Coturnix japonica: one gene and its partner. Each later gene encodes a partner of the first gene's protein in a complex. Links are inferred from orthologs where the notes say so. Each region holds a gene or a part of one and is shown on either strand. Other genes may lie near its edges.

Region 1 (4,378 bases):
TAGCTCCAGAATTCCTGGAAGATCTTTAACATATGTTCACTGAGTGCTTTTGCTTTTATCCATGTACAGAGAATGCTTGTCAGAGGGCCTTTACTCCCAGTCAGCCCAAACTCACATTGCCATTATCATGTTGTGCTGAACCTCTGTGAAAGTCACAGCCCTAGCCATGTCCAGCCTTGCTCCACTGGCTGCTCAGAGGGACCACCACTTGGATGTGCACATTCTTTGCAGAAATCACTTCTAATAGGTTGCTGAGATGGAAAGTCTCAGCAAATAAAGGAAATTCCAGAGATCTCCATGTACCTTCTATTGTGATATGTTATGACCACACATTCCCTTTCCTCAAATAAGGCCTTTTAGTACTTTGCAGAGCCAAACTCACATCCGCTCTGCTGATAACATGATGAAAAGTATCTGGAGTCATGTTCCCAGGGCATCACCATCAATCCAGTTCTCCCAAGCTAAGTATTCATCGTTTCCCCTTTTCCTCACACAGATGTTGCCCCCACACAGGGAGGACTGATTGCAAAAGCTGTTCGTATAAATATTTACAAAGGAAAAGCATGAACCAAAAAGGACTTGACATTTTTGAGAAAGATCATATGATGCAGGCTGGTGGGTTAGGAGGTGGCAGACCGAGTGAGGAGCTGCCCTCAAGACCGGTGCTCCTCTAGAGCTCTGAAGAAAGCTCTGACTGCCAGGCTGTTGCTTTAAACAGAAACCAGTGGGATTCTAAGGTATTTCTGGGGGATTAACAATGATAGTACCCAATGTGTATATTTCATCTGTGCCCAAATCCCCTGGGGAGCTGCTGCTGATGAAGTGAAGCACTCCTTCCCTCCTGCTGTGAACATGCCTACTTTCTTCTGCCTGTTTCAGCAAAAGACTCTGCTTTCTCTGTGCTGTAGCAGTTTCCAAACATCGATGACAGCCTTGGCAGAGCAGTTTCAGCTCCCCAGTGCCAGCCTCCTGCTGCAGCAAAGATATCTGTTTAAAAAAGTAATGCCACCAGCAGGGAACAGGTGGTATGTTGCAGCGAATCACAGAAAGTTGTAATAAGACAGAGGCAGAACGTGCAAGAGGGAGGGGAGGAAAAAATGAAAAAGAGCAGAACAAAGCTGAAGGGAAGCCCCGTGGTAAGAAGTTTTTCCTCCACTGCTTTTACACAGCACAGAGCAAAATGTTTTGCTGCTTTCCCAGCTCTGGGATCCAGTATGGCCCTGCGACGCACTCGCCCATTGTCCTCCCCACTGTTTGCTTAGAAGGAATTCAGGAGGGATTTGCTTTCTCTTGTTTCACAAGCCCCACGTTTTCACACTGCCCAAAGAGGATACGCACCAGCTGGCCACGTCCATCACTGCTGCTGGGACGTGAAATTCCTGATTATACTTAGAGCTGCAGAGCCTGCTCCGTCATTAGCAGGGCAGCTCGACGTGCAGCAGTGGGGACCGGGGCCGTGCTGGCCTGGCCCGGTGGTGTCAGGCACTCTTCGGACCAGAGATGAGAGATCTGCTGGTGGTGCCCCTGGGGTACATCCTCACCCTTGCTGCCCTCAGCCTGGCCGAGACACTTCAGAAAGGTTTGCTGGAAGGGCTCTGCTTGAACCGGGTGTTTTGTGAAGGGAAATGCATCTCTAGCAACAGTGGGGAGGACAGCAAGACTGCCATTAGCAATTGCATGAAAATCTACTGCTTTTAAGTCTGTCTGTTGAGTAGTTGCTTGGTTGCTGTTGTGAGGGATGGTGAGAATAGGTTGTATCTAGGAGGAGGGGTAGCAGTGAATCCGGTTGCATTGGGAAGGTGAAGGCTTTGGGTTCAGCCTGGGTGGGATGGACATGTCCTGTCACAGAGCTTGCTGCCGAGCATAGGGCCAGCACTGTTGCACCTGTGGGGATACACGGCTTAAAGACAGCACTCTGAGATCTGCGTAGCATGTGTATGTGGCTACAAATGTCCAACATGTCTGCTACATGAAGTAGAGAGTTGCTGCCTTGACTTCCTCTCTTGCATGTGTGCATACTTTCAGCAAATGCATGAACTGAAAAATTACCTGCTCATAATAGTCCCCTATATGCCAACATAAATACTGGTGTTCAGGACTTACCATCCAGTAAACCTATGGACAAAGGGCTTTATTCCACAGTGATTATCAGGAGGCATTCAGGGCTATGCAGTTTCAGGGATTTAAAAAAAAACCCAACAAGATAAACTTATAAACTTCAAGGAGGAGTCCAGGAGTCAGGATAGGCCAGCATTGCTGCTCTCACACTTTAGAAATGGAACTCAGGTTGGCCTCAAAATGAGGAAAGAATACCTGATTTTTGTGATTTAAGTCAAAATGTCAACTTTTTATGATGGCTGTAGAGTAAATTGGTGAACCCCACTCTGTTTCAAAGTGATGATAGGATGGAATCGGGCGGACAAGAGGATCAGTGAGGAATGTAACTGCCTCTTAGCTTGCTAGCATAGTACAATGAGGAGATGATGGGCATGTTCTCTTAAAACATAGTGGGTAGATGCATTACCCACACCTAAATGGCCTGGTAGCTTCTGGTGGGTGGGTGCAGCATGGGCTTTGGCTTTCCCATGGGCCCCGTGACTGCCATTGGATCATTTTGCTATCTTGGGAAACTACAGCTGACATCCACAAAAATGGCACCAGAGTAGCTTTGCAGATGTGCAGCTTAATTGATTTTCAGTGTTACCTAATCCCATAGGGTTACCTAAAAATTTCAGAGAGCCCCAATGCATGCACATGATACCATTTCTTTGTACTGATAAATACATATTGTAATGTTTTGTTTTTCCTCATTAAAATCTGCTAATAATGGCATCATAAGTTTTGACTGCTTTCCTGAGAAAGCTTGGAATGATGCTGATACCATAGCTTTTTGGATGGCCATTGTAAGGAGGCACCATCTCAACCATTTGGGGCTCTCTTACCAAGCACTGACAAAATGGCGGCGTGCTCCATTACTTCCTACATCCTGAAGGTAGGCCACATCCTAGGCCTGTGTCCCCTCAGTGAAAGGAGTACTGCCTTCATCCTCCCTGCTGCCCCTGTGTTTGATTTTAGAATGGGAAATAAAAAGAGCAAACAGGAGAATTATGCAGTGCTGTTGTAGCTCTGTAGAGCTTAAGAAGATAGGTGTAAAAAATTCCCTCTCTGTTCTGACCATAGGTGACGTAAGGCCGGATTGGACAGCATTCTCCATGAGGAGGGAGTAGGATTCTATTCCAAGAGTTGTGTGTTTGCTGTCAGGAGATGCCAGGGGGACACACTGCTAAGAGTAATGATGTCATATGTAAAATTGAGGAGAGACAGTGAAAGTACTTATCTGTTGCTAATGAATTGATTCATTGCATAAAACTGACAGGTTTACTTGGCTGAGAGAACAGTACCCTCATTGTACATACAGCAAATCTATCTTTATTATTCATCATGATGCTGTTTTCATAGTGACAATGCAATTACAAAACTGGCTGCTTTGAACTGTTTTTACTGCAAACATTACATTTCTAAGGATTAAAAAAGCATCATCCCAGAGATAAAGGCATGTGGGCAACAGCAATAAAAATGTACAGTATAAAATTGGATAATAAAACTCTATTTCAGTGAGTCTTAATTCCATCAAAACCTCATAAACTCTGTCACGAAAAAGCGGCGTCTCCTTTGAAGCAGACAGGATAACCATCAGTAGGAAGTTATTCTCCTAGGTCAGCTGCTAGTAGCAGGGAAATTTAGGCTTTCTGAAAATTTTCCACTTGGTTTCACTGAGATGTGATTCATCTGAGGATGCCGTGTGGATAATTATTTCTATTTAGTAGGACCTGGAGTGACCCTATAAATGGAATCCTGATACACTCTGAATTGGTCTTCTCAAGAACAAATCCGATGCAGATGTGGTTTAATTAGCATTTAATAATATAATTATTATATAAAAAATATAATATTTAGCACTACCTTTACTATATTTTAAAGTTTTTCTTTCTATATAAATACATCAATTACCAGCTATGGAATATGAAGTCATATAATCCAGAAATTATATCGAGGCAAGTTTGTGTTAAAGACATTATAAGGTGTCAGGGTGTCTTTGTAAAAAGTGTTGAAAGTCCATTCTTTCTTGCCTTACTTTCATTCCAACTGAACTCTAATGACATTCTAGTTTTTGCCCTTATGTAAATTAAAAAAGCATTAGCATAAATGCCTTCTATTATTATCAGTTTCTTCTGCTGGAGTACCTTTTAGTTTCATGTGAGGAGGTGAGAATTTGGTGGTGTTTTTTGGTACGTAGCTAAATCTCATTGTACTGAGGAGAGTTAGCAGATAAAGTATGGGAAGGATTTTCCTGTGAAAAAAGAGTTTGCCAGGTACT
Region 2 (4,528 bases), on another chromosome or scaffold:
TAGGGAGTATGAGAAGACAAAGGTTACCTTCCCCCAAACTGTAGCGGATTCGTACATCCCACGCATACATTGTTTCCTTGTTCTCAAATCCTAGCATCACAACTTGAGAAAGACAGATGATTGCAAGGGTGTGATTCAAGCCCTCATAGGAGAGCCCAGGATCCAAGCCACAGATGTCTTCTAAGGTCACGCTGCTTCTCTCCTTGTGCCCTTTTGATCGTTCAGATTTATCCTTGTACACCAGCATGAGCAAACAGTCTAAAAGAAGCAAAACTGTCAGAGATGATGAGGCAGAACAGAACACAACACGTTTGTACCAAAGCAAAGTACTAAGAAAAGTGCTTCAGACAACTGCAGATCAGTCTGATCAAGCCAATACTAGATCTCAGCTTCCTTCCCCCACCCTACCCAGACAGGCTGCAGTCCACATTCAGGGAGCAGGCATATTTCAGCAGTCATCTGTGGGCTCAGAAATACAAAGACAAGAAAAAAAGTCTTCCCAATTACTTTGCAAAAACACACTGATTTCTTTTTTGCATTGTCTCCCAAGTTTTGAAGGGATTGACTCGTTAATTTTGAGCGTTAGAAGCTGGAGTATGATTGCTATCCATATTACAAGTGCTAAGAACCGCGAGGCTATTGTCATCTTTATTTCCATGAGAACATACTGAACCACAAACGAAATTCTTACAGTAGTTAACAGATTACTCAACTACTAAATGGTGAGCAGCCTGCCCGCACTGCCAGACATTGTGTCAGCTCAGGTTTCCCAGTGAAATGCTACACAGTAGCCATGCTCAATAATCATTATGTGCCACACCTCTATTTGTTTATGTCTTTTTAAACATGTCACCATTTGTCTTTAACCCCTTCCTGAGCATGTTATAATATAGATAGTATAGTATATAGTAATACTATGACAGTAAACATGCAGTGGAAGAATGTGACTCAAGCATCACGGTGCTCTAAGAAAAGCATGTTTCAGACAAAAACAAAGGGAGCATCATTTTCCCACCTTTTGCATACAACAAAAAGAGCATTCATTTTCACCCAGGTTCCCTTCCTATTGCACATCACTGGGTTATAACCCAAATTAATGGTCACCCAGGTTCCCTTCCTATTGCACATCACTGGGTTATAACCTGAATTAATGGTACACATCCGTAGCTGCCCTGCATGCCACCAGGAGGAAGCTCCTGTGCACCATTACATGAATGTTGGGGTGTGGTGCATCAGACCTGGCAAGGAGCCCTGCAACACTCAGCTGGGAAACAGCCTGGGAAAGCTCCGAAGAGCTGAAAAAACAACTGAAAGACCCAAAGCCTGCTCGCCAATCGTCTACATGCCGTCCCAATTGTTTTCTTGCACCTGTTAGCAAAAACAGCTGCCACTATGATACTTCTGCTGTGCAGTTGTGCATCTGAAGAAAGAACTGCTATGGCATACAGAGCGAGTGAAGCAAATCTTTGGGGGGAGGGGAATTTCTGGTAGATCTTCATACGTTTGGTAGAATGAAAACAGCATTTTTTGAGGAATAACATTATAAGTTTACTTTTGGAACTCCCCTATTTTTCCCTTTTATATTTGGTTAGACATCCAGGCCCATACCTGTATGTCTGGATGGTGACTTGTACTATCTAGAGTTGCCCGTTCGTGGAGAGAAGTTTAACAAATGTAGTAACAAAAATATCAACATTAAACTGTAAAAACCCATACCAAAAAATTGGTCTAAAGACCAAGATATAGCCACTCTACCAGCCAGAAAGGGCTCTGTAATGAATTCAGAGGCAATGTAGATCCACGTTTGGAAAATAGGCAACAACTTACCCCAGGAATAAATACTTTTGAGGCTAAATGGTTTTCCCATTAAAAATAAAAGTTAAAAAAATATATATATATTGGGAAACATGAAGCCTCCTTTTCCTTCTCCAGCATTAAAACATCAACTCTTCATAACATTTTCAGTTCTCCCTTGCAAACGGTGGAACTGAAGTTTTTAATTCAAGATGACATCTTATTTTTAAATTGAAACGCTCCGTGTCAAAACACAGAACAAAAATAACCACAGAGCTCACAATGGCAGCCTTTCACAGCCACCAATCACCCCCCGAAGAAGTAATTTCTAAAAGCAAGCGTTTGAAACGGGAACTAAACTCTCGGCGTTCGTTACGCTTCGGCGGGGTCTCCTTCGATATCCTCTTTCTATTTCTGGCCGCCTGGCTCTCCGCCAGCTGAGCCCAAAAAAGAAAATAAATAGATATTTCTTTCGTTGTTATTATTAATGTTATTTTAAAGGAGGAAAGAGCAACGACGGCTCGTGGAAACCTCCAGCCGAGGGGTCACTGCCTGAAACAGCACACCCGACGGGGTGCCCCGTAAAGAGCTTTTCTCCCTCTCCCTGTGCCCCGCACCCCCGGCAGGCGGAGGAAAGGCCCCGCGGCCGCCGGTCTCTCTCCCCCCTCCGCTCCCAGGCACAGGGTCCCCGCTCCGCTCTTACCTGCCACCGGGGAGGGCTTGCGCAGCACCAGCCACCTATTCTTCCACTGCAAGGAGAGGCAAAAAGACAGGGTTAGCCAGGGCCGGGAGAGGGAAGAGAGGGCTCTATTCCCCTCGTGAGGAGGGGGCGTCGGTCGGAGACCCCCAGCCCGTGCCGGCCGCGTGGCCGAACCGAAAGGGCACAGGGGAACTCGGACCTTTTTTCCTTCTCTCAACTTGACGTGACCCTCCACCACCACGGAATCCGTCATCTTCAGTCATGATTCCGGACAGCTGCGCCCGGCTCGCTGCTCCCTCCCCGCTCTCTGGCCGAGGGGTCACTTTCAAAATAGCTTTAGTAGGTCCCCGTTGAGGCACAGCGAGCTCGGCGGGCGATCGGCCAGCGCTGCCCGGCCCTCCCCGCGCCCCCCGCCCCGCCAGCTCAGAGGCCGGACCGGCTCCGGCTGAGGGGGGGTCCTATAAAGCTCCCCGCCGGTTCTGTGTTAACTTATTTTATTGCTTTGTGGAGTTTGCGCTTGTTTGCGTTTTATCGCTTCTGCAGGGTTTAAGTACATGCACATGAGAACCGGAGCACCCACAGCCTGATGAAGGCTGCTCCCGTCGATCTGCTCCGGCCGAGACCCCTGGAGGTGCCGAGCTTTGCGGGCAGCCCAGCTCCTCCAGCGCCGGGGCCGGAGGGAAAGCCCGGAGCGGAATCATCGCTGCCCTCTGTACGGCGGAGCTGCACCCGGCAGCCAGAATTCATGGAGCCACGCAATGTTCTGACTTAGAAGGGACATAAAACCCACCCGTCCCCAAGCCCTGCCGTGGGCTGGGTGCCCCCCACCAGCTTAGGCTGCCCAGTGCCCATCCAACCCAACCTTGAGCACGTCCAGGGATGGGGAACTCACAGCTCTCCAGGCAGCCTGTGCCAGGCCCCGCTACCCTCTGAGTAAAGAATTCCTTCCTAAATATCCCATCTTTTAGTTTAAAGCCACCCTCCTTTGTCCTCCCACTGTCAGACCATGTAAAAACTCCATTTCCCTTCTGTTTATAAGCTCGCTTCGAGTATTAGAAGATTACAAGGTCTCCCTGGATCGTTCCCTTCTCCATTCCTCTTTCAAAAAGTGTGACTACCCCTTCCCTTGGCTCTCAAAGTCATAGCCCACCTCTAATAAAAACACTTATTTCTTTTCCTTTGCAATGCAACTGCCATGAGATTACAGCCCACTTACCCCAAAACCGGTGCTGCTACAATTTATAGAATAGGATGTGTTAATTATGTCCTTAAATTCATTTCAATGAGAAATGGACTAATTAGAGTCCATTATTCTAAAAATACTCCTCTTGCATCTTATTTGATGGTAATTAGTCCTTCAGTTTTTTGTTGGTTTTTTTTTCCCCAACAGCAGCACAGCACATTTTTCTTTCAATAGCACAATAGAAGGGGTTTTTTTTAGATGTTTGCTTTTATTTCTTCTCTTTGAATTGGACAGTTTGCATGGAATAACCTGTAATTTAATAAAACCACCCTTAAGTGTGTGTCGTAATTAATTGGGAACGTGTTTGTTCAACTGGTTTTGCATTCTAATTCTATTTCAAGTTAAATGTTAGGGAAAAAAACATCAGAGAAACTTTCCTGGTAAATTTTAGCTGTATTTCATTTTAACACAAGCAATGAGCACTTAAATAGAGCTGGGCAGAATAGGGGAAACATTTCCACTGGAAAATGCTCAAGAGAAAAGACAGGAGGTGCTGAAGCACCTATAGGGATGTGAACAGCATTCTCAGTGGTGTGAGAGTTAAGGCATAGATCTCTTTTACTAACCCTGGGCATTTGCTTGCCACCCCAGTCTGGGAATGTGGATTGAATGTAGTGCATTCAACACACAGCGGAGCATCAGATCATAAAATCACCATCAAATCAATGCAATGCCAACAACAACAAAGAAAGAAACAAGCCATTTAGAAAGCCACAAATTCAATGTAGTGAATTCAAGTATGACAATTCAACACAGATTTGTCATTGAGGCTAGTAAGTGCAGAAAATAGA

The links.
Region 2: the proteins of MUSK (region 1) and DOK7 are in contact, whole or in part, in a crystal structure (PDB 3ML4), measured with the Mus musculus proteins. The link is inferred for Coturnix japonica from reciprocal best matches to the Homo sapiens genes MUSK and DOK7. Residues at the interface, in NP_035074.2 of Mus musculus: Leu547, His548, Pro549, Asn550, Pro551, Met552, Tyr553, Gln554, Arg555; in NP_001335203.1 of Mus musculus: Leu154, Ser155, Asp156, Leu157, Arg158, Arg159, Tyr160, Gly161, Gly172, Thr173, Arg174, Ser193, Asp197, Val200, Arg201.

Annotation. Positions count from the first base shown.
Region 1 is NC_029547.1:59,223,137-59,227,514, forward strand, and holds the start of MUSK (muscle, skeletal receptor tyrosine-protein kinase), read left to right. Parts: upstream 1-1,362; 5' UTR 1,363-1,500; coding exon 1,501-1,579; intron 1,580-4,378.
Region 2 is NC_029519.1:74,389,679-74,394,206, forward strand, and holds the start of DOK7 (protein Dok-7), read right to left. Parts: upstream 2,925-4,528; 5' UTR 2,748-2,924; coding exon 2,694-2,747; intron 2,544-2,693; coding exon 2,498-2,543; intron 274-2,497; coding exon 28-273; intron 1-27. UniProt on the Homo sapiens protein: Probable muscle-intrinsic activator of MUSK that plays an essential role in neuromuscular synaptogenesis. Acts in aneural activation of MUSK and subsequent acetylcholine receptor (AchR) clustering in myotubes. Induces autophosphorylation of MUSK.